Regions from separate parts of the Mus musculus genome. Here all the other regions are reported to be linked to region 2. Evidence: microRNA targets listed by miRTarBase, many of them from high-throughput screens and not tested one by one. Region 2 holds a microRNA gene; each other region holds the end of a gene's coding sequence.
What was found. The annotated mature microRNA mmu-miR-149-5p reads UCUGGCUCCGUGUCUUCACUCCC and lies in region 2 at 1,687-1,709, shown strand. An mRNA with a match to its seed (bases 2 to 7 or 8) in the 3' UTR can be bound and repressed. Matches are read on the target gene's strand: a 7mer-m8 pairs with bases 2 to 8, a 7mer-A1 pairs with bases 2 to 7 and ends in A, and an 8mer does both.

Region 1 (5,071 bases), not on the chromosome of region 2:
GCAGAACATGTGTGACTTAAACCATGGTTTCTATTACAGGGTGTTAAATGTCTCCATGGGGCATGCTTCCCTTTGGACTAAAGCTAAAGAGACATCAATACAGAGCAACTAAGTTTCTTTACAACGAAGGAAATGGAGAAGTTTCTTTTTAAATGCAGGGTCTGATTTCCTGTGCTCCATGTGATATGGTGTGATTGAGAAGGTTTTTTTCCTGTGAATGGAACATCCCTTTGACCCATCCATTTCACAGAGATTAGAAAATCTAATTTGAGGGGAATTTACTATTATGGATGACAAAACCTTAAGCTGGCAGTAACCTACATCTTGGATTGAATTTCTTTTGTGGGTAAGTATACAGAAATGTTTGATGGAAAAGAGATTGGAAATCTTCTTTGTGTATCCTATTCTGTTAGTGGGAAGCAGAACTACATTCTAAACCTGCATTTGGGCTGAGTACCGCTTCAATATAATGTGACATTTGAACAGTCACTCTTTGTACCTAGATCATTTGTATCGCTGTTCCAAAATATTGTCTTTCTCTTTTTACAAGCAGCCTGTGTCCGTAAAGTTAAATATGGCTTACATCGGCAGAGTACCTCTCCTCAAAAGACTGAAAACTATTTTTCTTTTCCTTTGTTCCCTCTGTGTGACTATGTGGTCTGAACCCTCCCTGAGGGAATGAGCCTCATCACAAATCCGTGGCTCATTTCTAATCCCTAAGTCTCTGATACCTGACAGGACAGTTCGCATCTCAAAAGGAAAAATTAGAAAAATGAGCATTTTCCAGCTCTTTAAAAGACTTGTATCCTTTAGCTTTAAAGTCCTCACAGTGCTAACATAGTGTGTTTTATAGAACGGACTAAAAGAAACAACAATCAGGCCAAGCTCCAGTTCTCAGAAAACCCAGTGGCAAGGCAGCGGGACCTTTCGGGAGACACTGCTCACAGCAGTGCCTCTGGGGGTTCAGCAGAAGCCGCAGGAGCCAGGTGTGCAGAACCCAGAGTAATAGACACAGGGGCCAAGTCAGACCATTTGATCCCCCAGCAGGCTAAGCGGAGACAAGCATTCCTCCTCTGCAGAGGGGCTGACAGACCTGAAATTCAAACTCAGATTCCGGCTGTACCACTTGGGGCTTTGAGCCAGGCATTTCATTACACCCATAGTTCACAATCATCCCGATTAGCCTATGGGGTGGTAGGACGCAGGGAAGGGGGTTTGGAACATACAGTTAGCAAACTTCAAAGAGCTATGCAAATATAAGGCATGGGTTCACACTGAAAATATGACTCCAAACCTGACCTCTTTCTTGGCCTGTTGGAATCCTGCAACTGTTCGCTCCAGCATCTTTCTGGGACTCTGAATTTAACCTCAGATTAAAGCGATAGGGAAAGCTAAGAACTCTTATAAATGACAGACATCTTGCAAACAACAGAAAAACGTGCGACATATGTGTGTTAGCAACTTCTCAACTAGTGAGGGTCCTCTGCCAGGCTCTCATCTGGGTCTTCAGATCAGAAAGAAAGAGTCCTCCTTCAGCCCTGCCTCCCCAAAAGTCCCCAGAGAAGCCTCATCCTTAACCAGTGCCATGGGTTCTAAAAGATTCGTGCTCAAAGATCCACCACCAGTGTCCTGAGATGGGTGCTCTGGTACATTCCAGAGGCACAGTCAAGAGTCTCCCCTGGGCTCACACTACCTATAGTCCATTTCCCAGCCATTAACTAGGAGAGATCTATAGTTCCCAAATCTCTTGAACCAGAGAAGAGACTTGAGGCCAAGGGATAGCTCCTCATGGTTTCTCTTCACTGAGGGTCTCTAGAAGTGTCGCTCTCTCTGTCCTCACCCAGAAGTGTCACTCACTCTCCTGCTCACCTCGTCTGTCCTCACCCTACTCTTAGGATCACAGCTGAGGCTGGGTACCCACAGAAGCACCCCTACGCTGTGACTAAACTTAGCCCAGAGTGAAGAAGTATTAATTTACAGAACTGGGGAACAGAGAGTGGTTGGTTTGTGCCCAGGAGGTCAGGACACGGCTGAGACTGACTTGGGAACATTCAGCAGGCTGGTTCCACCAAAGCAGAAATGTCTGCTCTGACTTTCTTGAAGTTGCCTGGAAAATTAACCCTATGACTTGCTCAAGCAATCTCACGAACCAACTTTGCCTTTAGATCTGAATGTTCCTAAAGGAGTTTACATTCAAAGGTCAGTTAAATACCTATGAGTGGAAAGCCAACGTAAAACATTTAAATATAGCAATCAGCCCTCATAAAAAGTGTTTGGGGCTTCCACTTGGGGGAGGATGGAGGTCTGTAAAGTGGAGTTGCTAATAAAAGACATGAGTGGATATTTTCTCCCAGGCTAAGGTTGTTCCAATGCTAATTTGCCTCCCCCCAATGCTTCCTTTCACTGTGAACCCCAAAACATTGCCCTCTGAACAGCTACTAGCCACAGGAGGAAATGGAATCAGTCCTGATAGGCATTAGCATCTCCAACTGCATGGATCCATGGAGGGCCCTGCAGGGCCTCTCAGCTCATCCCCAGGCTTCGTCTCGCCACTTGATGAGTCTGCTTCTCTCTCTCTGCTTCTCTCTGCTTCTCTCTGCTTCTTTCTGCTTCTCTCTGCCTCTCTCTGCTTCTCTCTGCTTCTCTTTTTGCTGCTTCTTTACTTTTCCCTCCTAAGGCAAGGACTGGTTTTCATTTCAGTGTACAAAAAAAGTCTTGGTGAAGTACAGGGAAATAATAAACAATTCTTTCTATTCACCTTATAGATATAGATCAGGTGGCTATTTCTATTTGAGTTTGCCGAGCCACCTGGGATGTTATGATATGAATATATACGTCAACAATTTTCAAAGGGCACGTGAGACACACATAGGTCCTCAGTGAATTAAGGTTATGATTTAGAAGTTGTCATTATGATTAATATATTGTTTTTCCTTGAGATCTCTTTAATGACAAACTTTAATTTTTATTAGTATATAATTAGGAATCATATTGTTTATATTTTATTTGGCTCAATAGTTTGTGAGATGTGTTTCTTTGGGTCTACAACTCATGGCAACTAAATATCATAAAGCTTAACCTTTGTGAATAGAAGAGCTAACCTAAGGAGCTAGTTAAGAAAATGATGTGTAACAGGCATTGAAATGTAAGATCTCTGGAGCTGAGGGTGGGGTTGTAATGGAAAGAAAGCATTCAGAAAATTAGTAATTATTAATACATGCTCCCGTGGTTTTCTCTCGAGATTTCCTGAGCATTCTTTATATATCATAGTGCAATACAATACCAGTAAGTCACTACTATACCTATTTTTCTCAAGCAAAAATGATATGCTTCTAGACATATATATATATATATATATACACACACACATATATATGTATAGTCTATATATCAACACATAATAGTACACTTTCTTTTAGAACACTATAATTTGCATTTCTATAAATATATTTAAATAAGAAACATAGATCACTGTTCAGATCTCACACCATTTGACACATAAACATACAAAAATAAAATGATCCCATTTTGCTGGTCCGGGTACTTCTCCAAGTTAAGAACAACTCAGAAATAACCTTGAGAATTTGGATCCCAGGAAAACTGGACACGAATTCATGCTGGCTCTAGGCACCACAGGCAGGGGTAAACTTAATATAACATTCCTTACAGTGGGTATTAATATCCTACCACTGTTCAGAGAAGCTGGGGGTGGGGGGGAACGACATCTCCAAAGGTCATGTGATAGTTTGTCTCCTAGACATTGTGAGGAAGAGGCATATTAATCACATCCCCTGCCCTACGTAAAGCATGAACTTATGAAGCTGACCTCTGAGTAGAACAGGAAAAATGCCTCCTCCTTGGGCTATCCATTCTCTGCCCCCACCATGCTCTACTCTGCAAATAAGTGCTCAGCAAATAGAACATCAACATTAAGAAGAGCCTTGTGTTCCACAAATGCCAACATGCGTCCAGTTCCAGTAGCTAATAAGGAAGAAATTCCTCCACTCACAACGTTTTGCAGAACTTGGCTGCCCACCAAAGGGAGTTCTTCATGCTTCTTTTGCAAAACAAAATAACATGAATTATTATCCCTGGTAAAATTGAGCCTTTTGTCTATGGCAGGTTGTAATTCTCTTGAAAACAAAAAGAGGGGTTTCACCCATTTCACATCCCACCTAAAGCCTATTATTCCAGCCAGCTCCCAGTAGAAGCACAGACGATATGCCTGCTCAGATGAACTCCATCACTTCATTCTAGTATTGAGGAAGGCAACATCTGGGCGCCAGGACTCCCACTGCATCAAAACTGGCTTCACCTCAGTTGCATCCTTGCGGGGAATGGATGATGTCTCAGGAACTGGGTTTGGGATTTCCTTGTAAGCAGAATGAATGCCCTTGGCAGCATCCTGTAGAATGGTATAGTAACAGGAATGGGGGTGGGATCTGGGCATCTGCTCAAAGAGAATTTTCCACACAATCAGAAGACGTGGGATTCATGACTTCCTGAGGGGTGACTTCAGGGTCCTGAGGTGCCTGCTGCTGATAGATGTCCTGGATCAGCAGGGTGTTCATGACCTTCCACTCTCTGTACTTCCTGGCTGTCAGCTTTGGATCATCCAGCAGCTGGTTGATCATAGCCAAATCGTGTTCTTTGCACTGGCCGGGAAGAAAACAGGAAGGAAAGTGACATCCATGATTATGTGAGGACCTGAACTTCTATGAGTCAACTTCTTCAGCCCTTTCACAGACATGGGGACCCATGGGCTGCAACACTACCAATGTGGTTTAGTGCATTAATAGTCTAATCTTGCAACACGCCTGAGGTCAGCCTGTGGGAGCCATAAGAAGCTGTATATATTCACCCCCAAGTTTCCAGACAGTCTGTCTTCTATGCTGCTCCCCTTCATTCTTTTATTGCCTCACAGCACAGAGGGGACTCCATCTTAGTCTATCACTGGGTGCTGGCTATCTCCTGAGGCTCAGTTAATATGGTACACAGATGATACTCATTGACCATCTGAACCTCGAAGTAAAATTTGAACATAACACTTTACCTGAGGCATAGGGTAACA
Region 2 (5,071 bases):
TCTTACCGGCTCCAGCTGTACAGAACCATCCCCGTTGCAGAGGAGGCAGCGGTCGGTCGGAGCTGCAGGTGTCGCCCAGGCTTTGTTCGCCCAGGGCCTGGCCTGATGCTGGAGAGGCAGCTGGCAGGAGCCCTTGCCTGCCCGGAGATGACCCCTCCCATCGAGTCCATAGAAGTGCCAGCAGCCGATGCCCCCCAGTTAGGGGGTCCCTGTTCGTGATGGAGGTTCTTCTTGGTGATGTTGCCATTTGGGTGAACCGGAGGCAGGGGCTCGGGAATCATGAAGGCATCCAGGAGGGTGGAAAAGTATTGGGAGTGAGGTGGGGGCGGGGAGGGGATTGTGCTTGATGCTTTTCCAATTTCAGAGATGGAGTTGAAATGTCTTCCTTCGGGTGTGACCCCCGGGGACTAGACAGGTTTGTTGGGGAACAGGAGCAAGCAATGGGAAAATGCCCCTGGAGCCTGGGCAGTGAGTAGTCCCCCAGAAAGCTGGGCCATTTGCTCCAGGCTGTCACGTCCTGGAGACTCTCAGCCTCTGGGGCTGGAAAACCCAGGAGCACAGAGGGCTGGTTTACTTCTAACCTACCAGTCAACAGAAAGGCCTGCTCTAGGAGCCAGCAGCTGGGGAGGGGAGTGTAGCCTGTGCCTCTCCCTTATCTGCGGTGCTGAGAGATTATACTCCGAATGCCCCTACACTCCCCCAAGCCGTGCCAGCTGGAGTGTTTTAGGGGCCGTGAGGGAAGTGGGCTTTCCACTCTGCATCTCCCCCGTGAGCACAGGAAGCTTCTAGAAGAATGGACCAGAGGCGGGGTAGCATGACTCTGCATTATCTTCAGAAGGTGGAGGGTTTCAAGGCATTGGGTCCCTGAAGTGTCAGGGGAGGTCAGGTCAGAGATGTCTGTGGGTAGCATCAGGATGCTGGACTCTGCTAAAGTCCTGGGGTGACTGTGGATGATGACCAAGAGGGATGCTGCCTCTGTGAGGGAGGAGCAGGAGCTGGAGCTGTCAGCAGGTGGCAGGAGGGTGTGACCCTGAAAGGTAGGAAGCCACAAGCTGCTGTCTGCTCTGGAGAATAGTGGGGGGCCGGGGGTGGGGTGCAAGCAGCCAGATTTGGGAGGAGGTAAATGAGCAGTTGCTGCCCATGGGTTTGCTGCAATGGGGTGCCATGCTAAGTGTCACAAGAAGCAGGGGTCTTGGAATTTGAGAGGCTTTGGGGTTGGGGACAAGGCTTAGAAAAGGGACTAAAGTGGGGAAAACCTGCCATTAACAAACAACCCCCTTCCCCAAATAAAACCTGTGAGTGCCAGGGGAGGGTAGTGCCCCCCAAAAACCCAGGAGGGAAAGATCTGGAAAAATGAAACCAACTCTGAGAGAGATGGGCGGGGTCAGTGGGGAACAATACTGCCGCTCCACTCCCACCCACCTTCAGGGCTGGCAAGGAGGAAGCTGCTGGTAGGGTAGAACGGAGAGACGTTCCTACGATGGGTATGTACTCCAGTGCTTTCCTGGAAGTGTAGAGAGCTTTGCAGAGCCTGCCTTAGCTGTTCTGATGTTGAGCACCTATGGTTCCAGTTGGGCTGGGTCTCAGCTCCTCTATCTTTGACCCTCAGCAAGCAGGTCTGCCAATGCATGGGCTTCTGGGCAGCCTGACCCAGCCTGCCCGGGGCCCTCAGGCCAGTGCCCAGGCTCTGGCTCCGTGTCTTCACTCCCGTGTTTGTCCGAGGAGGGAGGGAGGGACGGGGGCGGTGCTGGGGCAACTGGAACAGCGCAGGTCACCGGGCTGGCTGGGTGAGGTGGCCAGGCAGAGCCAGGGGGCTGCAGGGGAGGCCATTGGATGGGGTATGCTCATAGTAGCTGGCCAAAAGTCTCATGGGTCCCATTTATCCAGAACCTGCCGTGGAGTGGGGCGAGTTTCTGTTTCTGAGTGTGTGTCCTTAATTAACTTCTTCCTGTTTCAGCTTCGTTCTTCTGTCTATGTGGTGAGGGGTGGCAATTGGGACCACTAAGATGGAGAAGGATGTCAGAGGAGCAGAAACCATGGGAGGGGCCAGTAAGGCTGTGCCCACCTCTCTCTTGCCAGTGCTCTGTTGTGCAGCCTGGTCCTCAATATTTCCACCTAAAACCTTTGGCCTACACACACAGAGTGCCTCTGTCCCAGCTGAGCCCAGGATGGCCCCATCCTGATACCTGCAGCCTCCATCCCCATAGCTGTTTCCCCACTCACTGCTGAAGTCAGAGATGGGTCATCCTCTACAGTGCCCCCCATGATTCCTCCTCTAACAGAAAAACCCTTAAACCCCACCACTCAAAGAGAGAGATGTGGCATATCACCTCAGCCCAGCAGACCATGGCCCGGAGCAGAGCAAATAGAAGGCCCTGCTGGGCCCTGTACCTTGTTGTGCCTGTAGCCTGCTTGCGGGTGGATAATCTCTGCTTAGCCCTCCCTACTCTAGAAGGAAGGGAATCAATCAATGGATGCAGATCAAGTGGCAGGACCTAGGCTTGCAGCTCCCAGCTGTCTGGGCACCAACCCAGCCCTTTCTTGAGGTTGGGTGCTTAATAACATGTTGCTTCCCAGGACCTGCAGTCCCTGTGAAAGGCAGGTGCCCTGGGCAGGAGGAAGCAGTGTGGTAGGAGCAGAGGGTACCAGGTAGGGGAGTGGTGGGAGGGGCATTCCGTGTGCACCTCCCATCTCTGACTCCCTTTTCTCTTGACTCCCCCAAGCACCCTTGAATCAGAATACAATTCCTTCTGTTCTTCTACCAGCTGTCAGCCACTGCCCTGCTCTGTGGACCTTTGGGGACCCTGAAACCAGGTGGGACTCAGCCTGTGAGGCCAAAAGTCCCCAGGGTTCTGGGATGAAGCACAGCTCCCATGCCTTAGTAAGCAGGAGAAGGGCTAGGCCAGGCCCTCAACCTGAGACCTGGAAGAGCAGATCTGAAGGTTGCCCTACCTAGGGATGGAGGGGTGGCATCTGGGGATATATACCTTCCATGTCAGGTCAAAATCACAGAGGCTGTACACAGTTCCACTCTGCAATATGCACACACACACACACACACACACACACACACACACACACACCATCCAGCACACATAAATGCTTGTGCTTACTAAGTGCTAAAGACAAGGATGTGATCATGTAACAAGCTCTTAAGGGTGAATGCAACCTCAGAATCTCTCCTTAGTCAGAGATCTCCACTCCCAGTTGGCTTCAGGGGAGGGGGGTTCATAGAAATGGGGCCTAACACATAATGGCCTCATCCTGAGGTCACAGGTTCCTGCCCCCACATGCTTCTTGACAAGATGTCCACTCCCCTCTGGCTCAGTCCCCCACCTCTGATGGCAGCCTGCAGTATCACATCCTGGAGTTCTTCACATCCCACCTTTCCCATCAACCCGTCAGCAAGGATAAAGCCCAGGTACCAGCCCTGGCACCTACTCTGGGCTCTGGAAACTCTGCATTTCACTGGCTCCCCATAACATCAAAATCAGCATTCCTGCACGAGGGAAGCTTCTAGAATCCCTGCTGACCGCTCCCTCTTCTCAGACCTTTCACCTAAGGCTGGGCCACTGCCTCTGCCTTTTTGATCCACCCAGTCCCTTGTAGGGACTGTAGGGCTCTGTCTTTAGGCTCAGAGACAGCAGTGTGACCCTATGAGAAGGGAGTAGAACAGAGTGGGGTCAGGCATAGGCCCAGTCCTGAGTAGCTCAGCCCCCAACTGGGACAAAAGCCAGTCTCCAAGCCTCAGATTCCCTGTAAATTGGTGTCACTATAGCCTTAGCAGAAGGTTTCCTCTCCCATTGAGGTTTTCTTCTGATGCCAGGAGACTCTCAGGTGTGTGCTGTAAGGGCTCCATGGTAGACACTTTGAGGCCAATTGTAGGCCCAAAGCAACCCTCTGTCAGCAAGTGGCAGTTGATATTGTCCTGAATGGTACTGCTGCAGTGCCACCAAGGGCTGACAGGTCAGCTCACCAGCCCAGGATAGATGGCGGGGGAGGGAGTTTCAGCCAGAACACTATGGGGACTGGGAATGTGTCCAGCTAGTGGGAACCTCAGGCCAGGGTTGAGTGGCCTCTGTTTGGGACCCAGTGCCTGCGCAGAGCATGCTTTTCTTCACCCCAGAATGGTACCCAGGGCCCTTGCAGAATGCTGACACAGGCCCTGCAGAACATTCATGGGGCACTCCACTCTGCTGTCAGTCAGGTGGCCTCTGAGACTGGCCTGAGCTAAGAAGAGGCTGGATTTCTTCTTCCTCCCCCGGGCAGAGGCACCTGCCAGGCTCGAAAGCCTCTATCAGGTCCCCAACCTAAGTCGGGCAGCCTCTCCCTCTATGTGAGGGCTGAGCTGGCTCTCAGGGAGCCCTGCTAGGACTCTCATTGCATTCCTGAGATGCTGGACTATGTCACACAGTACTCGTAGTCTGAGGCTCAGCCCTCTGATAACTATGATAACCTGTGGTACCCCATCCCTGAATCTTAATCAGAGGCCCTGGGAGGTCAGAGACACTGGAGCCCAGCTTTGCCCTACAATGTGCCCCCTCTCCCCATCTCTGCCTTCACAAAGGGCTCCTAACCTGAGCTGAGCCCCATCTTGGGCAGAGCATCCTGGACCACTGTTCCCCCTCACGACACCCTTTGCCGTCCCACAGGTGAGCACCTGCGGATCTGCCCCCAGGGCTACACTTGCTGTACTAGTGAGATGGAGGAGAATTTGGCCAACCACAGCCGAATGGAGCTGGAGAGCGCACTCCATGACAGCAGCCGCGCCCTGCAGGCCACACTGGCCACCCAGCTGCATGGCATCGATGGTAAGTGGGCACTTGTGAGTGTGGGGGAGGAGCCAGAGGCTAGGATTTGGATGGCTAACTCCATAGGAGGGTCTCCCTCTTCCTGCCAGGCTTGAATAGAACAATGAACCCAAGTTATTGTCAGGGCCCTAGGGAGAATGGGCCTGCTCCTCAGAGGGGAACAGCTGGGCTTGAGGTGCTTCTGTGTCCCAAGCAGAGTTCCCCTCCAGACCTACAGAGGGCTGACCTGTATCACCTGCATCTTCTGGGGTCCCCGTGGT
Region 3 (5,071 bases), not on the chromosome of region 2:
GTAAGAGCTGCGCTGTTGCCAGCGAACAGACTTAGTGACCGACACCTTGGGACAGTGTGACTGTGCTCACGGTGATGCTCTGTGTCTTTGTTCTTAGTGAGTTGATTGGAATTTTTTTTTTTAATATGTATGAGTGTTTTGCCTACTTATATGTGTATATAGTACCCAAGCCAGAAGAGGGCATCAGACCCCCAGAAATAAGAGTTACAGATGGTTGTGAACCTCTATGTGGGTGCTGAGAATTGAACTCATATTGGTCCTATGGAAGAGCAGCCAGTGCTCTTACTGCTGAGCCACCTCTCCAGCCCTAAATTGATAAGATTTCTACCATGAACACTGTCCAGTGAAGAAGGCAGACTTCCTCTCTGTTCTCCCCGTGTGGCTCTGACTAAACTCTAGATCCCTATAGCTTAGACAAGGCATGATGGTAAATACACCCAAAACAATATGGAATCTGTTACTTGGGAATCAGGCATGAGCTGGACATGGCTCAATAGAAGAACACTTGGCAGGCATTTGTAAGGCCCAGATCCCGTAACAAGAGCACTTTATGCAGAAGCCACATGGAACGGCTTCGTGCAGATCTTAGCAGGTTCATATGGCTAGTCTTACTGGCAAGCAGGTTTGCACCAGTGGTACAGCTCATTGTTACCCCTTTGTTTCTTCTGTAGAAATTAAAGAGACAGATGGGAGTTCACAGATCAAGCAGGAGCCAGACCCCACGTGGTAGACCGTGGCTCTCCAGGGTAAGAGCCTCGCTCTAGCTGCCCTTCATCCATGCCCACTTATAAGCTGATGTGCAGACACATCCCTTCTGCTCTGGCTGTGAGATGAGGCCACCCTCAGGGGACATAAGGCCCAAAGGTTTTTCTCACTCAAAGATGTAGCCAAGATGAGTGAGGTGGCAGAGATAGGTGGGTCTCTTGTAAGTTCCAGGCCAGCCAGGCTCCGTGGTGAGACCCTGTCTGTCTTGGGGTGGGGTAGGGTAATACAGAGGTAGTATTCCTTAAAGGGACATGTTTGTTTTGAGTCTGTATGCCAAGGTTGCCTCCTCTCTGGCTGACCTCTTTAGGCCGGTCACAAGCCCAGCCCCATCAGTTGCTGACTTGCCACCAAGAGGTGGGCTGCAGTGACCCGCAAGTGAGGAGACTGCAGTCTGCTGTGATGGGCTTTGCCTGGCAGCCTTGGTGATGTGCCTGACCGTGTCAGATCACAGGCTTAGGCCTTGCCGTCTTTCACAAGTGCACTTGGGCCTGCATGTCTGTCAGATGGAACAGGGTGTGTGACAGGAGGTTGTCATGCCCCTGCCATCTGACTCACCCACTGCCTGCGTGTTTGTTCTCTCTGCAGTTCGTCCAGTGTCCAGCGTGCGTGGTGGAGAAGAGCTTTGGGACCCGTTCCTGCCAGCTCTGTAATATACTTGTATAACAGAAATACCTTCTATACAAACCTTCTTTTCTACTTTTAGATAGAAATGTCTACTTTCTCAGCAGTTCTGTGAATTGAGCTACACAGCGTGATGAGATGCGCGTGCCTGGTGGCTTGGGAACGCACTAGAAGGGTCTTGCAGCAGTGCTGAAAGAGGCGGGAATGGCAGGGACGACTCGTAGGGTTTCTTATGCATCGGGCAGAGCCTTGGGCTGTGGTGCGTGTTCCCGTCAGTGAGATATTCCTACAGGGCATCTTGGCTTCCGCAGCAAAGGAAGTCCCTGTGCTAGTCAGTGCTTTAGTTTTTCTATTGAAGACCAGTTCCGTGGTCTTGCACTCGGCTGCCCCTCCTGCCAGGGGAGGGCTGCTGTCTGTGTGTGTGACTAAGCCTCTTCCCAAGCTCCATCACGATTCCTTTGTCCTCACTGCCATTCAGAGCAAAGCCGGCCAGCTCGCCTGACCGCCAGTGAGCAGCCAGTGCATCCGTGCAGTGCAGCTGGAGAGGCTAGCCTCAGAGCCTCGCTCCGGTTACTTTACAGCAAGTAGATTTCTGGGTGTGTCCTAAAGGTCAGAGGTCAGGTCTGCATGCTTGAGCAGGTGGAGGATTTGCCCCTCCCCAACTGGGACCCACAGTGGCCTCAGGGGCTCTGGGCCGCAGCTCTGGGTCTGGGTCGAGTCAGGCTGGGCTGTGTGTCTGCCTGGTTGGTTAGTCTCTAACCACCTGTCTGGCCTCTGCGCCAGGGTGGGGAGTGAGGACATTGGTGTCCCGCCCTATGTGGGGGCTCACAGACGATGATAAGGTAACAGCTCTCAGCAGTTAGGCACGTGAGGGCACGGTTCTCGGTAGTCACCACAATGTTCACAATGGGAAATTATATCACACGGTAGCAGAGATAGGCATTTTATGTGTTCCTTATATTTTACCTCAAATTGTAGATATAGGGTAATAAATAAAATCCATCCATGCCTTTCACATGCAAACTCATTCTTTTCCTGCTGTCTTCGTGAGCGCCTGGGGAGGCGGGACGGGTGTGGGCTGGTAGGATGTTCACCTCAGTCCCTCACAGATGGGACACCCGTATTCCTGGTGTTTCTCAAGAAGTCACTGGTTTGTGGAGCTGGAGCTGTGCCCAGCCCCCACCGGCCTACATCTTACGTGCGTTGGAGACAGAGGAGAACTCTGAGGACACAGCCACAGCACAGGGGAGTCCCTGAGTCCCTGCTGGAGGATGTGGAAGATGATGCCCGCCCAGGCTGCGGCCAGGGATCCCCTGGTAACATGATGCACAGGAGAGTCAGTCATCGGGCAGAAGCCTCCTCGGCTGAGATCCGTCAGGCAGTACTCAGTGACAGGGCACAGAGGAGAAGGGGCAGCTCACCCGCTGCTCATGGGGCAGCCAGGAAGCAGAGGGAGAAACAAGGGGCACGCCCTGTCAGCATCCAACTTCTGGCATCTTCCAGTGATGCCAAGGCCAAGGTCAAACTCTCATCCTGTGAACCTTTGGAGACATCCCCACACCATGGCACGGGATAGAACTGCCCTGGGTCAGACATGGCTGTGTACAGGTGGGTGACATGACAGCCGCCTGTACTAGGTAGGCTGGTAGGTGACAGCTGAGTGGAAAGGGTCATGGCCACCAGTAAAGCGTCCATAGCTGGGATGTGACTCAGTCACTAGGCTGCTCGTCTAGATGCACGGAAACCTGAGTTCTATGCAGTTACCCTGTCATCTACCCAAGTGCTCTGACACCTTGTAGGTGGCCCTCACCTGCCCCGCCCACACTTGTTTCTTGTGGTTTGGTTTTGAGGAAGGCCTGGTGCAGAAAGCTTGGCTGACACAATACCGATTGGTAAGGTGTTTCCTGTCATAGAGGGAACAAAAAGCCTTGTATTTATTACCTTCAACTTGGCCGTGTCCAGGCAGCTCCTAGTGAGAGAGGGGCAGGGACCCACTTGTAGAAGCTTCAGTGTCTCCAGCCAGGAGATTTACTATGTAGTGCCAGCCAACTGAAACTGCACCTAAATATTGTGGCTAATCTCTCCAGGTGACAGAGCTTCATAGAGGCTAGCAGATAGAGCCAAGCATTGGTTAGTAGGCCTGTGGTCCCAGTACTCAAGAGAGTGTAGGCAGGAAACTAAGGCCCAGCTGTTGCCTGCGAAACAACAAAAATAATTCAACCGGTATATGCTCAAAAGGTCAAGTTGAAAGCCAGCTCATGCCTGTTAGGAGACAGTGACACGAAAATCAGGAGTTCAAGGTCATCTTTGGCTACATGGTGAATCCAAGGCTAGTCTGGGTTGCAGGAGACTCTCAGAAAACCAGTGATGGGAGAGATGCTTGAGCTGAGTAGAGTGGTAGAGGAGGCCTGTAATGCCAGCCCTCTGAGAGCAGGGACAAAGGTCAATGGCCCACACTCAGAACCAACCGCAGGATGATGGAACCTTGATCCTTCAATAGCAGCTTCTGTCCTGGGGTGTGTGTGTAGGACAACAGTCTCCTGGGTTTGTGTGTACACTGTGGTATGACCCAGGTCCTGATCCACACCCTCCCCAGTCATGTTGTGTAGACCACCAGCCCTTGGGGTCTCAGCTGCCGTCCCCGGCCATCTGCAGTCTCCTGGCCTCCAATGAGAATACTGACTTCTTTTGTCCTCTGGGGTAAGCATGCCCCTGGAGTTAGCGTTGACGGCCGATAAGCTGTGAGCAGCTGTCTACTGTTCTGTCTGGAAGAGTGACCACAGGAGATGGAGAGACTTGAGGAGCAGGCGAGCAGGCTTAGGTTGGTGGAGGAAGCCTCAGCCAGCCTAATAGAACTTACACTCTGCAGCCTCAGCCATTGCTTCCGGTTTGTTTTTTAATGTGTATGAGAGTTATGCCTATGTAGACGTCTGCATGTATGTGCCAGGTGCCCACCAAAGCCAGTTCCATCAAGCTCCACCAAGGTAGAACTGGAACTTTAAATGGTTGTGAGCTGAGCTGCCATGTAGGTGCTGGGAATTGAACCCAGGTCCTTTGGAAGAGCAGCCAGTACTCTTACCCATGGAGCCATCTCTCCAGCCCTTTCTACCCACGTCTTCACCTCACCAGTCTCATTTCCTGCTGGGGATGGGGGCCAGGCCAGCACACCTACCCCACGTCATTAGTTTAAGACTCAGGGCTGAGTTCTGTGCCTAGGACCCACGCGGTGGCGAGAACGGACTCCCACACGTTGTCCTCTGACCTCCACACTGTGGCTTGTGTGCCTTGCTCCCCTTTCCCCAGTCAGTGTGGAAAGAGAGAAGATCTGTTGGGTGGGGATACAACTCAGTTGTCAGAATGCTTGCAGAGCATAAACAGAGCCCTGGGCTCCGGCATCACAAACCAGGCCTTTCAAATGTTACCATCCTAGAGTACGTGACTAGCAGGGAGAGAGCAGATCTTGTCACAGGAGCTCATGGGGTGACAGGAAAGCAGGGTCCCAACACTTTTACAGGGGAGGGTGCCTGTCTAGTATGCACAAAGCCCTGGATCTGCCCACAAACCAAGCGATCTTGGCTTTAAGCCAGCCTGGGAATGGAATCCAGACTCACACACACACACACACACACACACACACACACACAGTCTATCCTTAGATCTGTTAACAACCCGATTCCCGTTGAGT
Region 4 (5,071 bases), not on the chromosome of region 2:
TGTTAGGCACCTCCCTGACAGTATGACCCATCTGTGCACCTCAGACTCTGGGTCAGAGTATGTCCTGCAGGTCACACTGCCATCTGCTACCAAGCATGTGGCTTTGCAGGTCTCTGCCCTCAGTGCTGGGACCAGCTCATGCTCTGTAGACTGCTGAGCCATGTCCCTGGCTCACGCCACCCAGTGCCAGTGTCTACCCCACCACAGTACACAGAACACCCTAGATATTGTGATGTTCGCCCTGCAGAACAATCCCTGGGGTGAGCTGCCCCCTCCACTTCTGCTTCTCATACTGGTGGGAAGTAAATGGCCCGGTGTCTGCTTCCCTGGAGCCAAGGTTGAGCCATGTCATTTGTCCCCACCCAACAGTGACAGGAGAGTCACCACCGAGCCTCTCTAAGGAACTGAGCAGCACACTGGCAGGAGTCAGTGATGTCAGCTTTGATTCAGACCATCAGTTTCCACTGGACGAGCTGAAGATTGACCCTCTGACCCTGGACGGACTCCATATGTTGAATGACCCAGACATGGTTTTAGCCGACCCAGCCACCGAGGACACCTTCCGAATGGACCGCCTGTGAGTGGCTGTGCCCACCAGCCGCCGCTGGTCAGTCTCCAACGGCGCTGCCCCAAACCTGGGGACGGCAATGGCGTCCCCCTTTGCCAACGGCCAAGCTTGTGGTTCTGAGCTTGCAATGCTGCCCAGTGCCCCTGCCAGCCCCCCGCCACCCCGGTCGTTCACCTCCCATGATGCCTGGCGTGTGTGAGGCCGCTGTGTACTAGGCTGGCTATCTGTCTGTCCATCCATCTACCTGGGGTCAGGCTGATGGCCGAGGCTGTGAGTGCCTGGCCCCCATGGATGTTCCCCGTGCTCGCTCCCTCACCCCTCACTGGGGATGTGAGAGCCCTCATCAGATACCCAAAGTGTCACTCACTTCCAGATGTGCTGTGCAAGGAGGGCCGGGGCGTGGGTGTGGAGCGCCCAGAGGCTTAGGTGCGCCATCCATTCGACTGTTGTCAGCTGTCACTGCCTTCCTCCATCCTGCCCCCCTCCCCACCGCCATCCCCAGCCCTGGTCAGGTCATGCATGCCCACCGAGCCCAGGGCAAAGACAGCAGAGTGACGGGGCCGACCTGGACCAGAATAAACACTGTTTGGATGGCTGCCTTTTATATTCCTGAGCGCTCTTGCAGCGTGACAATCGACCTATGGCCGAATGTGGTATGGACAGAGCCACTGAAGCAGCCAGTGCCCCTCCTTGGCTCATTCTCACCATCCTTGCCCCCTGTTGGACAAAGGTCAGTATGGTGGCACTGGGATGGAGGGTCACGGGCCACCTGCACATTCTCCTCACTCTTCCAGCCTCGTGACCTGTCCCTCCTGCTGTTTAGGATCTGGGGCTCGGGAGGCAGCAGCCCTGGTGGTTCTGCTTTTCCTTCCGTTTCTGTTGGCATTTGGTAGCTGACCCCCCCCCCCCAGACTTGCCTGGCAGCATGTGTTAACTATCCCCCAGTCCCTCCTTTACCTTTTTAAAAGTTAACTGGAATACTAGCCTGGAGCACTTGCAAGCTGGGGCACCTGGGCTGCTCACCCTGGACCTGGGCGTACTGGCATTTAGTCTCAACTCCAGAGAGCTGGGTGGGCAAGGATGGGGCTGGATGCAGGGTCCTGGTGGCTGGGCGTGTCTGTAGAACCGCAGAACATATCCTGGGAACAGCCTTTACTTTCACTGGAGCCTCCTGAGAACCCTCTCTCTCTGAGGATCTTTAAGGCGTCTGCCAGGCCTTAGCAGTGGCTAAGTGGGGGCTGTGGACCGGGGTCACCTTTGGCCTGGAAGTTCTGATCCCCACCACCCTAGGTCATAGCTTGACATGCCCTCTGCCTCTGCTCCGTAGGCCCGGGCCGCGGCTTCACTGTTTCTCTGTGCCGTTGCCCACTGCCCATGCTGGGGGTTTGGGGAGCACACAAGCTGTGTGTGTCTCTCCCCAAGCACCTAGGCAGCCGCCTGCATGAGAAAGCTGCCACCCTTTCATTGCTATTCCCCTTCCCCTGGGTCTGAAGACACAGCATTGCTTTGTCCAAGTCACCTGTCCAGGTCTCAGGCCTTTCTGTCACCACGGTGCGGACTTGAAGGGAATAGTGGGAACTTTATCATCACCATCACCATCATCATCAAACGTATGTGGTGGCACGCGTCTGTCACCCCAGCACTGGCGAGCTGGAAAGCACACAGAAGTGGGGTGGGACTCTCTTCCAGCTGTAGAAGTCTGAGCAAACGGCCTCAACAGGGCCGAGAGGCTGACAGGGTACCTGGAGTCCAGTTACTCACTGGCTGTCTGAGTTCTCAGTGAGCCAGGGCAGGACAGATACAGCCCATGGCCCTCCTAAGCTGGTGGCCTGGCTTTCAGTGCCCTGAAGCCAAGAGTGCATGTAGCTGTATTAATGTGACCAGTTCATTGCCAAGTCCTATGATGAGGTGACACGTCCCTGCCTCAGCGCCCCAGGCAGCTGTGAGCATCTCATGAGCTCTCTGGCCCAGCCAGGAGCCAGCACTCGGGTGCATGCATGTTCCCAAAGGGGTCACCCTCCCCTCCCCTGGGCCTAGCTGCTGTCAGGGGGACTCCTGGGAGGTGTCTTTGTTTTCTAGATATAGGTCACCTGTCCGATAATACCCCTGTATTGCCAAGACATCCCAAGATGATAGCTCAAGGCCGTGGGGGCCTCAGCTGGTGACATGCAGATACTGTGACCCATTGAACTGTGCTGGGAGCAGCCACCTTGCAATGTGTACATAGACCCTCTGCCCACATTCATGCTCTCTCAGGACAGGCTTAGACACCTGGCCCTTGAGAGGTCAGATGCGTGAGCCAGGCCTGGTTTTTTCCCCTCCACCTTACCCATGTGTCACCAGCTTCAGCCAAGCCCCTCCTCAGCCATGTGGCTGTCCAGCCCACTTCCCTGACTCAGAAACAGGACTGGGGCATCTTGATAACTCTATGCCCAGCTGCCTCAGTTAACCTTGGCAATCTACCCAAAGCCCCACAGAACAACAATGCAGCTGGACCCAGCCCCTTTCTATATCCTAAGAAATGGCTTGTCCCCTTGACCCAAGGCCCTGTCATATCCCCTTCCTGCAACACTATCCAGTGTGGCTCTGGGAAGTCCACTGGTACTTAGCCTAGCCTTCAACTCTTTGGAAGACTCTTACACAGGGGGGCCCCCTAGTGAAACCCATGTGCTACTGCACAGCACCCAAGGATGGCTGACAGCTATCACACTGGGCTTGATGTCAAGAGTCCTGGCACTCCGGTCAGGACAAGAACGGGCAAAAGGCATGGGGACAGCAAACCTGCACCAGTGTCAGCTGCCGTTCTTCTCACAGTGGGCCTGGGGTTTTTTATTTTGCAGAGATTTAGCACAGGTTGAGAGGGCTGCTGGTATCAGGGTCTTGATGCAGCTGTGTGCACAGGCATGGGGTTGTAGAGTTGTGCCCTAGGTCTGGCTGCTGTCCCTCAGAGCTGTCCAGGTGAGGACACCGTGGCGCAGTCTACCCCATGTGGTCTGCCTCTGGTGTGGTGGTACCTGGTCCTTTTTATACCCCTTCCACCTTGGCTCCCAGGGGGCCTCTTCCTTCAGGGATCTGGTGGGTGATTTGGCGACCCTGATCATTTCTGTCTCAGGCATGGCCCTCAGTGTGGCACAAATGCCTGCCACCCATTGGTCATAGCCACATCTCCCTGTCAGGGCAGAAGATGGAGGGACTTGTATCCTCTCGAGCCTGGGTGCTGGGGTACTCCCAAGGCCATGGGGTGCCCTGAACCTCAGTTTTCCTCTTTCTCAACCCTGCTGGGCTCAGGGGCCCAACCTCCTGGTCAGGGTAGGGATAGCAGCAGAACCCCCACAATGGGACCAGCAGTCCCTTCTGCACTCAGCCTTTCCTTGGGGCTAGGGATCCATCACATGGGGTAAGGCCTAGCCTAATCCAACCCAGCACTTCTGGTCACAGGGGGACATGAGGACAGGGCTGTGGCCATAACTCCAGAGGCCAGGCTCCTGTTTCTCAGGCCCCATCTCACCCCTTAGTTGGAAAAAGGACGCCATGGGCTGGGGTGCCCCTTTGATATATGCAAATGGCTGGTTCCACATTCCCCTCCCCGTGCCCAGGCTGGCTCTGCCCCCGGCATGCGCACTCCGCTGCGGATGTCTGTGGATCGTGCGCATGGGCACCGCAGTTGGGGGTCAGGTTGCTCAGGGCACGCACGGCCGCCCGCCCCACCTTCTGGCGCAGACGCTTCTTTGTATTTTTGCGCCCTTTGTAATGAAATGTAATAAAAACCCAATGTTTTCGTCTGGGCCTCTTCCTCTTTTTCCAATCTCCCTCCAGGTTACCTCATCTTCCTGTGGCTGAGCCCCACATAGGTGTGAGCCCCTTGAACACCTTCCACTGAGCCATTCAGTGACTGGGGTTCCTCAAACTTGGAGGCAGCCATCTGCTCTTACCTTAGAATATTCCAGGGCTGTCACCACCTGTAGTGAATTGCATGCCCCTGACAGTCTCAGTGACTAGAGTACAGACCCTAGGGCCTCCTGGAGGCCCCTCCACAAAGTGCCCCTTTAGCAGCGACCAAAGCCAGCCAGTCCCCCACATACGTACTTTATTTGCCTCTCCTCCCCAGGCCAGACACCCCTTCAGAGGGATGCCAGACCCCCCCACACACACACCCGTAGCTTGTGCCACCACAGTCCATCAGGCAGCGGGACCCCACTGGTCCCTAGACTCTCTGCAGCCGGTGACTCTCGTAGTCCTCAGGGATTGTATCTGCAGATTGGAAGGCAACAGGTGAGAGAGGTTTCTGGAGCCTTTTGGGTCCAGCCTGCTGGCCCCTCGCTCACCATTGCAACGGTAGCGCAGGTTAGCCCAGATGATGTTCTCTTGGGAGAAGCAGAAGACACCCAGGCGGCCACCACGCATGGCCGTGTCCAACACCACATTGCTGTCAGCTACTAGCTCAGGACCCTCATAGAACCGCACCCTGTGATAAAGGACTATTGAGGTTGGGTTCCCTGCTTG
Region 5 (5,071 bases), not on the chromosome of region 2:
TCAGAGAGACAGGCCCTTCTGACAGCTCCCACCTGGCCAGGCACTTTCAGCCTGGTACTCTCTAGAGGTTGCAGGTTGCTGAGGGTGGTAGACAAGGTGCATGCTGCCTTCCTAACACCTGACAGACCATCGCATAGGCTGCCTCAGTGGGTGGAAGGGCATCCATCATTAGGCTGTTGGCTCAGGACACCCCTCCCCTTGGTGGAATGTCCTGAGTTGCTGCTGTTCACTGTTGCAGGGGTCCCATGTGACCAGGTGGCCAGGCTTCTACATCCTACAGTGGAAATTCCACACCATGCCAGCATGTGCTGCCACCAACCTACCCCGAGTGGACGACGTGCTGGCCTCCCTGCAGGTCTCCTCCCACAAGTGCAAAGTCATGTACTACACAGAAGTGATCGGCTCTGAAGATTTCAGGTTTGTGCCTGAGAGGGAGGCTCTGGCAGCAGGGACTACTTGTTCACTGCCTGCAGCTCTCCATAGGAAAGGGAGTGTAGCACTTGCTAAGTGCAGTGTCACCCGAGGGGCAAACTACGGATTCCTCCATTGATTCTCATGTCCTGTCCCAACTTTACAAGGGCCGACGGAGGGGGGGGGGGGGGGAGCAGATAGAGATGCTCGCTTGGGGCGGCTCAGAGCAGCTCCTCACTCCTGGTTCTTTGTTGATTACATCTGCAGAGGCTCCATGACCAGCCTGGAATCTAGCCACAGCGGGTTCTCACAGCTCAGTGCCGCCACCACCTCCTCCAGCCAGTCGCAATCCAGCTCCATGATTTCCAGGTAGTGCCGCGAAGCCTGCGCCTGCGCGGAGGGCGGGCGCCCCGGCTGCTGTGCTCCGCCCACCCCAGGATGTGCAGACTCCGCCCACCCCTGGATGTGCAGACTCCTCCCTCTAGATAGCAGCTAGATCTGCAGATGGTCACTAGTCACCTGGTCCCCAGACCATCCTGAGAGGTAGTTTTAACTCTACCCCTAACTTTAACTCAATAGCCATAGATTTTGTATACAGCGTGCACAAAATCAAACCAGAGCACAAGGGCTCTCGAAAGAAAAGTAGTTTATCTACAGTAAGAGACTGACTGGTCTCAGTTGTCGATGCAAAAAATGTTACCAACAAACTCCACCTTGTCCACTAGTGAATGACTTGTGTGACACCCTGCAGAGACTCGCCACCTCCTCCTCCACGGAACCGAAGCTGCAGCAGGCAGCCCTTAAGCTGCAGCGGAGTCCTCTCGGCTCCCTGTTAGTGGAGGTGGCCTGTGGATCCAGAACAGCTCTTGAGGTCCCTTTCCGCTAAGGACTTGGCAGCCTGAGGAGCACCCAGTGCTGGGTCAGAGCCAGCCTGATCCCGAGCAGACACTGCAGCCCAGGAGGGGCTGCCAGGGCTCCTCGTGAATCCTGACAACACCGCCATCATTAAACATTGCTTTCTCTTTCCTCCTCTTCAAATCTTTTGATATTTTTCAGAGCAAAATTTTTCTGTCCGTGAACTTGGTGGAGGGGATGGGGAGGATTCTTTCCCTCTGCTGAGTGCTGCCTTTCCTTCTGCAGGAGGCGGCTCTGTGCCCGTAGCACCCAGGGTCCTCAGTCCTCTCAGAACCCAGGGTCCTCAGTCCTCCCAAAACCCAGGGTTCTCAGCCCTTAGCACCCAGGGTACTCAGTCCTCCCAAAACCCAGGGTTCTCAGCCCTTAGCACCCAGGGTACTCAGTCCTCCCAGCAGCACCCAGAGTCCTCAGTCTTCCTAGCACCCAGGATCCTCAGTCCTAGCACCCAGGGTCCTCAGCTCTCAGCAGGGTGTTTGGAAGCAGTAGGTCACACTTGCCTTTAGAAGTGTGGCAGTGCAAACTCTAGCAATGCTCTCCAGGGGGGTGCATGGCTTGCAGTGGCCTTCGGCATGTGGGTGGATGCTGGGTATGTGTGTAGGTGTTGTGTGTGTGCATGAGGGAGTGGGGTGTAGCTGGGGAGGGGCTGCAGATCTGCACTTGTTCTTCTGCGTTTCATAGAAGCAGGTCAGAGGCTGGGGCTAGTTTGCCTTTTTTCTTCTTTCTTTTTTTTCCCCTGATCTTGACTCCCCAGAGCCTGCTGTTGGAGCAGATCCTTGCTTTACGGCTTTTATGGGGAAAGCATGCTTCTTAGCGAACTGTCTAGAAGTTGCAGGTGGCTGATCTCCAGAGGAGGGGGGCCCAGGATCTACTTGTGTGTGTGTGGTAACAGTGTCTAAAGATGTGTGCCAAATCCGAGTGGCCATGAGAGTGTATGGCGGGAGTGGATGCCTGTGTAGACGCTGCTCTGAGGCTCTGGGTGGCTGGCTGTGCGGTGAGAGCTATGGAGAGGCTGTGGCATGTCAGCAAGCATGAGGAGAGCCGACACAGCAGCCTGGCTTGGCCGATGAGCCCCCTGGCTCCTGGCACCCTGAGCCGTGCTTGAGCCTCTGTTTGGTGGCCTTTCTGGCCCACTGCCATGCCTTTCCTGTCTGTGGGAGCGCTTGTACACAGCACAGCAGGGCTGTAGCTACCGCGTCCATGCTGCTTCCAGTCAGGGCTTCCCAGCTCCGAGTGAAAGGACCTGAAGATGCCCCTGCTCTTTCTCTCTTCTCTCTCCCTTCCCCTCTCCCTTTCTCCATGTCCCAGATGGCGATTTTGCTGACATCCTCCAAGAAAGCGCTTCACTCGACAGCCCACATGTGCCCAGAGATGTTTGTAGACCTATCTGAGTCGCAGCCATGTCCCAGGCTGAAGAGCTGTTCCCCTTAAGTCCATGCCGAAGAGGCACTGTTGAACCCCCCAGAGCTGAGAGCATCTTTAAGAGCTCAAAGCACACAACTGCACACTCACAGGCCCTCAGCTTCCCCGAGCCACAGGGCACTGGCTGCCCTGTAAGGGGAGGCTGGCTACGAGGTGACCGTGTGGCTCGCACACGGGGCTGCTCCTCCCAGTGCCCAGCACCTCCTAAAATGCTGCTCCCTCCACTCTGGGCTCTCCCTGTTTCTAGTGTCTTAACCCATTCTCCTTCCTGAATCCATTCTTTGCATATCAGATTCTGTAAATGTTTTGTAAACATATTACCTCACTCTTGGTAATACAATACTGATAGTCTTTAAAAGATTTTTTTATTGTTACAATAATAAATGTGAACTGTTTAAGAAGAGTGTCCTTTTCTTCTTGGGAGGCCCCAAGGAAGAATAGAGATTGAGAGGAGAAGCTGCCCGTGCCTAAAGGCAAGGGGAGGCCAAGCGGCTGAGTGGATGGCCAGCAGTCACCCTGTGCCTCTCGAAGGCCTGCTGTGCAGATCAGCACATCAGACATGTGCTGCAGAGTGAGTTCTAGGATAGCCTGGGCTACATGCCAAAACCCCGCCTCACAGCCTGGCTCTCGGTATCATTGTATTACTTAATAGTAAAATAGATTTCTCCAAGCAGGTGACTCTGGAATTCAAGACAGTAAGCAGGTGTGGACCTGGGGAGGCTAGAGTGACCTCATCTTGGCTCTCTTGTTTCTGGGGTCTGCAAGGCAACAGAGCCCGGGACAGCCGGGCACAGGTCTGGGAGGAGGAAGGTCATCACGGTCTTGCCGGGGTGCAAGGTCAGAACCTCCTCAAAGGGAAGGGCAGGCACATCTGGGGGTCTGATCATGTAGAAAGCAAGAGACTCCCAAGCATGCCTCGTTGTCTGGCATGTGAACTCTGCAGGGCTTTTGCCCCAAGCAGTAAGGCTGGGATATGGCCGGACACCCCATCTGGCGCATCCTGCTGAACTTGCCACCCGAGGAAAGACTTAAGGTTGGTCAAAACAAGCCTGTCTTGGCTCCAAGGTCACATTTTGTTGGAAATGAGAGACAGCCTAAGAACACGCAAGGCTTAATTGCATCTAACCCAAAGTTCTGTCTGAACTATTCAGATATGACCACCCTGGAGTGGCATGCCCTAACTAGTCCAGATTGCTAACGTGCGTTCACCGTGAATGACACCATGTTTTCGTTGACAGGGTTTTGGCATGTAGCCCAGGCTATCCTAGAACTCACTCCTCAGGCTGGGCTGGCTTGAAACTCAATATCCTGCCTCTGCCTCCCAAGTGCTGGTATTACAGGTGTATGCCACCATTACCACCAGCCCTATGTTTTCTTTGATGCCAGATCCCTGGAGAATTCTGACCAAACCTAAACCTTGGGGCACCTGCAGCTCTCAAGTACCAGGAGAGTTATTCTCATCAACATCACGAAGCAAACCAACTGGGCTCAGTTCTGCTTGCAAAGGGAGGGCTTTGGCAGGGTGGCTCAGCGGGTAGGGTGCTCACCGCCAAGCCTAAGGACCAGTGTTCCACCGTGGGGACCTCAGGCTCTCCTCGGTCCTCCATGCGCATGCATGGCATATACACAGGCACATGCAAATAAATGAAAATTTAAAAACTGGAAACCAAAGACTTGGAGAGTTAGGCATTCTGGGAAGACAGCAATGGCGTCCCCACATAAATGCAGCAAGGGTTGAGCCTACGACAGTTGGAGTGTTGAGTCCTATGCCCCAAAACACTAAAGTGATGGTTTGCTGTATTTTCTTCCCCACAGTAATAGCTCCTGTGCCCATCACTCTACCATAAAACTAGGCAGTAAGTTATCTTAGAATGTCCAAAACAACCATCTCTTGGACAGACCAGTGGTCACAAAACCCGTGTGGACTCCGAGGAGAAAGCAGAGGTGGTCTGGAAGATGCTGCAGCCCGGGGTCTTGCTGGTTAGATCTGGGGCAGGGCAGACTGGCCGACCTGACCTGCTGCACACCGAGAAGCCACGGGTGTGGGTGGCCGCAGGGCAGCTCTGGGAACAGATTGTCTTACCTCTGTACCACCGAAACAAGACGAAGGACGCTCATGCAGTAACATCCGCCAAGCCGTGACCCAACACTAAAAACTGAATGTTAGGTCTGGGCTGTGGGTGGGTCCAAAGAAGGCTGGCCTAGGCTGCTGGAAGCCCTGGGTTCCCTCCACAGCACCGCAGAAAACAGGCCCAGCAGTGGAGAAGCAAGAGGGTGTGAGGGTTCAAGGTCATTCTTGGCTACATTGTGAGTTAAGAGGCAGCAT
Region 6 (5,071 bases), not on the chromosome of region 2:
TGAGGTCTCGAACACCAACCACCAGGATACCACTTACTCCACTGTTTGAAAGCTACCGTCACATACCCAGTGCATTAAAGGTTTTATGCCCCTTTGTCCAGCCGTGGAGTTTAAGGGACCTCAATACCCACTTGCCAAGTCCCTTTGAAGAAACTGAGGCTGAGAGGGAAGGGATGTCAGCCAGTGGGGGAGTGGGGAGGCTTGGAACAGGGCCAGGCCTGACACACTGCTTTCTTTCTCTTTCTCCCCCTCTCCTCGTCCTCCTTTCTCCCCCTCTCCCTCGTCCTCCTCTTGCCCTCTCTCCACAGTTTACTTCAGCACTTAAATCCCTGAGGAGTCTGCCCTGCCTAAGAAGGGCCTCTCCCCCACCCCCAGCCGTTCCTCCACCTCTCAGCCATATCTTTCAGCCCCCTCCCTTGGATCCGTGTGTGTGTGTGTGTCCGTGTGTGTGCCCCCTGTAAATAGCCAGCTGTTATTTATACATATATAATATTATATATATTTGGTCTGTTTGTAGTTTTATTACTAGAAGATTTTTTCCGGTTGTCCTTAACACCCCTTCCTGAGGTTCCCATCACCTCTCTCTCACCCTCTGTCCCTTTTCCTCTTTCCTGATCAGCCCCAAGTCCCTTCATTTGCATCTGCTATGCAATAGCCCCTCTCCTCCTTCCCTTGGATTTAACCGATCTTTCCCTTATCTTCCCTGTACAATCCCAGGCCCTCCCAAAACAAAAGCAAACCCCACAGAAACAAACAGAACACCCCACCTGTCTAGGCTTCCCTAGGCTGCATCTTTGTATCCCTTGGGAGGCTCTGAGACTGGTTCCACTTGGTCCTAAGAATCCCAAGATTTTCTGGGAGCTTCCAACATGTTGATTAGCATATCATTTGCATACGCTGTCTGTTTCATTTTGTTTTGTTTGTTAGTTTTTTGTTTCCTTTCTGATCCATCACTCTTCACTCTTCTGTGTTTTTTCTTTCTTTCTTTTCGGAAGAGTCAGTCTCCATTGGTCCTCTTACCACACTTTTATTAGCACGACATTATCTGCAGGTGGTGGGGAGTCTGGACTTTTGGGGAACCAGGCTGCTCTGGACCCCAAGGTTTCCTCCTCCCAACCCCTCTAGTCTAGTTTGCTTCCCTTACCCCGTTTCCCACACCTCTTGTACCCTCCTCTCCCTCCCCCAGCTGGTGTGTAAGTGTCTTGGAGTTCAGTGTGTTATGATGGACCAATAATTCTGCCACTCGGGGTCTCTCCCTACATTCCTGCTCCCCAGTTTTCATGTGGGGCACTCAACTGACATTCCCAGGGGGTCTCGCTCCCTCCCATCTGCCTGATCTGCTGCCTCCTCCCATCAGGAGAACTGGGGGCCGACCACAATCTGGTTCTTTGAGGAGGGGTGGCTCCAGTGTGTGGGGGTCATCACTGCCTTGGGGAGGAGTGGGACAAAACAGAATCCCCCTAATTCCTGCCTGAAGTCTCTGGCCTCATCCTTGCTAGAGGTTCGACTGAAAACTTTCCTCCCCAGTCTGGGGGGGGGGTATTACCCCCATCACTGCCCAGCTCCTCTGACTGCCCCCCTGTATTCAGGGTGGGGGTACTAGTCACTGCCAATATGTGTTGGGACTTGCTGGAGGATGGGGATCCTCGTCCTTCTCCAGGGCTGTTGAGCCCAGAGAGAGAGAGTGTGAGAGAGAAAGCAAGCTATTTCCTTGTTGAGTACAATGATAGAGGAAGGATCTAATCTTTTTAAATGGCACAGTTTTAGGGATCTGAGGGTACAGCCCCTTAACCTGCCTTGGGGGGGGTTGTTCCCCAAACTCTTGCCCCCCACACACCAGGTTTTCTGTGTGGAGGGGAACCAAGGAGATCTAAACTGTGGTGTGAAAGGGTAGGAGAGATGCTGGGGGTGGGGGTGCTTGTGTTTTAGACCCCCAATATTATCCCAGTGTCCCCTGCCTTCCTTCTTCCCCTGCCCCATGCCCCCAATTCTGTGGCGCATCCAGATTGTGAAAATGTACAATAAACGTGTAATGAGTAACCATATGGTGTCCAAAATCTTTTTCTTAATCAGTAATAAGAATATTGGATTTTCAGATATGGAGTGGTTGAAAGATTCTTTGGTAAGAGCTGGCTGGCCTGTTGCAGGAGGCCCTGACCTTGGGCCCTGGCAAAGTGTAATTCCCGAAGTGGCCACAGGGGGCACCAGCAGACGAGAATCAGAAGTATCACTAAAGAAAGTACCTGATGTCTAAGAGGCAGGTGAACTCTGCAGTCTGGGATTACCAGCTTCCCACTACCGGCCTAGAGTGAGCTGCTACCACAGAACTCCTTTATCTCCTAAATGTCACTGCTAGCTATTCCTTAGGTTCTCTCATAGCCCTGTACTCCTGGACCACTTCTGTGGGGGCATGTCTTCCCCTGTCCATTTCAGTGCCGTACATCCAGATGGGCCGATGAATGCTTGAAAGGATCAGCCTGATGAGGCAAAGCTGACTGTGGCATAAAGCTAGCTATAGATGGCACACTACCCTTGCACTGCGTTGTGTAACTCTTACTCCCGAACTCTTGAACTGGAAGCATCACTACCCCTTTGTACTTCAGCAACATCACTGAGATATAGCTATATAGGAAGTAGGTAGCATTTCTGGTTGCCCTCTGTATTCAGGGCACGAGGGACTAATCACTGCTAGTGAGTGTGGTACTTGCTGGATCACAGTGATCTTTGACTTTCCAGGGCAGTTGAATAGAGATCGGGGTGGGAGGATTGGCTAAGAACCACTAGAGGGCCAGGTGTGGTACAGGCCTTTAATCCAAGCATAAAGGAGGTGGGGACAGGCTGATCTCTTGACTGTGAGTCTAGCCTGGTCTACATAATGAGGCCCTGTCTAAAAAAAAAAAAAAAAAAAATTAAAAAAAAAGAAAACAAAATTTTTTGAGACAGAATTTTATTATGTAACACTGGCTGTCCTGGAACTCACTGTGTAGATTAGGCCTGGAATACACACTTGACTGCCTGTTGAGGCTGGGATTAAACATGTGCATCATCATTAGCTAGCCAAGAAATAAGGACTATTAGAGAGCTGGGGGCGAGGGGCGGGGGATGGTGCATACTTTTAAGCCCAGTATTTGGGCGGTAGTGGCATATGGATCTCTGTGAGGTTAAGGCCAGCCTGGTATACAAAGAGTCCAGAACAGCCAGGACTATGTTACACAAAGGAATCCTGTCTTGAGAAAAAAAAAATTAGAACTATTTTTTTTTTTTTTTTTTTTTTTGGTTTCTCTGTGCAGTCCTGGCTGTCTTGGAACTCACTCTGTAGACTAGGTTGGCCTCGAACTCAGAAATCTGCCTGCCTCTGCCTTCCAAGTGCTGGGATTAAAGTCGTGCACCACCATGCCCAGCTTAGAAGTACTTTTAAAAATAGATTTTCAGGGGCTGGAGAGATGGCTCAGCAGCTAAGAGCACTGACTGCTCTTCCAAAGGTGCTGAATTCAATTCCCAGCAATCACATGTTGACTCACAACCATCTAGAAATGGATCCGATGCCCTCTTCTGGTGTGTCTGAAGACAGCTACAATGTACTCATACAAATCTTAAAAACAAACAAACAAAAATTAGATTTTCAAAGTTGGGCAGAGCCAGGTGGATTGGCAATCTCCAGGTTTGGGGGCAGCCAGGTCTACAGAGTGAGTTCTAGAACAGCCAGAGCAACACAGAGAAACCCTGTCTGGGCCGGGCAGTGGGGGCACACGCCTTTAATCCCAGCAGAGGCAGGTGGATTTCTGAGTTCGAGGCCAGCCTAGTCTACAGAGTGAGTTCCAGGACAGCCAGGGCTACACAGAGAAGCCCTGTCTCGAAGAAAAAAGAAAAAAAGAAGAAAGAAACCTGTCTGGAATACACCCCCCGCCCCGCAAAAGGGTGTCATTGGAAATTATTTCAGAGGTTCTAAAGTACTGAGGTGTCTTACAGCCTATCCTAAATTCTACCTTTATGGAGAGTTTAAATAAGGCTTTTTGCATTTAATTCTTGGAATTACTTCTAGGTTTAATGTCTCCATAGGCCTTACAATACCAAGCTACCTTTATGGTGTCAGAGACCTGGGTTCAGACTTTAGCTCTTTTATCAATATACATAATCTAATTCCGACAGATTACGTAACCTCTCAGCCTCTTTTGTGAGGTTATGGGTAGTGAGCCGGCCTTCTTGGGAGTCTGCAAGAAGGGGCTGGCCAGCCAGGCCCAAAGAAAATAAATAGGAGGCGACTGTCATTTCACCGTCATTGTCATGCAATCTAATGATATCTTCAGTGTAGTGCTCAGATTTTTAAGCTTTGGGGATCACTAGAGACACAAAGCTCAGGCACCAGAAACCTCTTGTAATGCCAGAGTCTCCAAAGTATGCCCACTACGCCATAGCCTGTCAGATCTACGCCTGCGTACAAGTCGCTCGGCACGCCTGCGCAGACTCCGCAGTATTGGGTAAGTGTCGTCAAGGAAAATCCCCAGCTTCTGGGTAAACAAGTTGCCGCGTGAGCCAGCCTGCACGTGTTCCCTACAGCTCTGAGCCCTCTCAGCCTATGAGAAAGTTTTTAGGGCAGGGCTGGCATTTGCGTCACTGATTTAGGCAGGGCGGGGTTGTCTCTGCAGCCAGTAAAAATGTTGAGAGTGGGTGGGGGTGTGGCTTCCGGTCAGATGTCCAATCAACGAGTTGGGGCGCCCCCGCCCTCACGTGGCTCTATCACTACCGGTTGTCATATTGTCCAATGGGAAAATGACTGAGTTCTGAAATGCCAATGGTTGCTTTACAAGGGCTTGCCGGCTGCACGCGGAGCGGGGCATGGGTTGGCGTCTCTGAGCCAATAAGCTAGGGAGGCGTGACAGAACGGGCGGTGGGAGGGCCTCGAGGACTCTGTGGAGGAGCCCCAGGAGTGAAGAAATTTGGAGTCTACGTGCGCTCGGAACTGTGAGTAGCCCCTTACTCTGGAGCCGTCGAACTTGTGTTTTTGGGGAGGTGCGCTCGACCAAAAGGGGTGTCAGTGGCGTGGTGTGTGTGAGGGATCATGCAAATGTGA

Region 1: miRTarBase lists Ipcef1 as a target of mmu-miR-149-5p. Seed matches in the 3' UTR shown: 7mer-m8 at 3,618-3,624.
Region 3: miRTarBase lists Gtf2i as a target of mmu-miR-149-5p. The part of its 3' UTR that is shown has no 7-base or 8-base seed match.
Region 4: miRTarBase lists Crtc1 as a target of mmu-miR-149-5p. Seed matches in the 3' UTR shown: 7mer-m8 at 2,350-2,356, 7mer-m8 at 2,544-2,550 and 7mer-m8 at 2,865-2,871.
Region 5: the mRNA of Sec14l1 is a reported target of mmu-miR-149-5p. Seed matches in the 3' UTR shown: 7mer-m8 at 1,335-1,341.
Region 6: the mRNA of Vamp2 is a reported target of mmu-miR-149-5p. The part of its 3' UTR that is shown has no 7-base or 8-base seed match.

Annotation. Positions count from the first base shown.
Region 1 is chr10:6,886,021-6,891,091 of GRCm38, forward strand. It overlaps Ipcef1 (interaction protein for cytohesin exchange factors 1), which reads right to left. Exons shown (of 9, transcript NM_001170800.1): 9 at 345-4,655. The coding sequence ends at 4,455. It also overlaps a transcript of Oprm1 not described here. Among named protein-coding and RNA genes, the nearest start is that of Ipcef1, 92 kb to the right of the region's middle.
Region 2 is chr1:92,848,695-92,853,765 of GRCm38, forward strand. Mir149 (microRNA 149) reads left to right here and starts at 1,684; the gene lies at 1,684-1,749. It overlaps Gpc1 (glypican 1), which reads left to right. Exons shown (of 9, transcript NM_016696.5): 2 at 4,653-4,811. Gm29480 (predicted gene 29480) reads right to left here and starts at 103. Exons shown (of 4, transcript NR_166170.1): 1 at 7-103.
Region 3 is chr5:134,235,172-134,240,242 of GRCm38, reverse strand. Gtf2i (general transcription factor II I) reads left to right here. Exons shown (of 34, transcript NM_010365.4): 33 at 672-746; 34 at 1,351-2,411. The coding sequence ends at 730. Among named protein-coding and RNA genes, the nearest start is that of Ncf1, 8.1 kb to the right of the region's middle.
Region 4 is chr8:70,381,634-70,386,704 of GRCm38, reverse strand. Crtc1 (CREB regulated transcription coactivator 1) reads left to right here. Exons shown (of 14, transcript NM_001004062.2): 14 at 370-4,347. The coding sequence ends at 581. Comp (cartilage oligomeric matrix protein) reads right to left here. Exons shown (of 19, transcript NM_016685.2): 18 at 4,894-5,033; 19 at 4,639-4,819. The coding sequence ends at 4,773. Among named protein-coding and RNA genes, the nearest start is that of Gm51533, 9.3 kb to the right of the region's middle.
Region 5 is chr11:117,156,123-117,161,193 of GRCm38, forward strand. Sec14l1 (SEC14-like lipid binding 1) reads left to right here. Exons shown (of 16, transcript NM_001166506.2): 15 at 239-417; 16 at 679-3,146. The coding sequence ends at 784. Among named protein-coding and RNA genes, the nearest start is that of Sec14l1, 43 kb to the left of the region's middle.
Region 6 is chr11:69,090,342-69,095,412 of GRCm38, forward strand. Vamp2 (vesicle-associated membrane protein 2) reads left to right here. Exons shown (of 5, transcript NM_009497.3): 5 at 309-2,040. The coding sequence ends at 325. It also overlaps a transcript of Per1 not described here. Among named protein-coding and RNA genes, the nearest start is that of Vamp2, 4.3 kb to the left of the region's middle.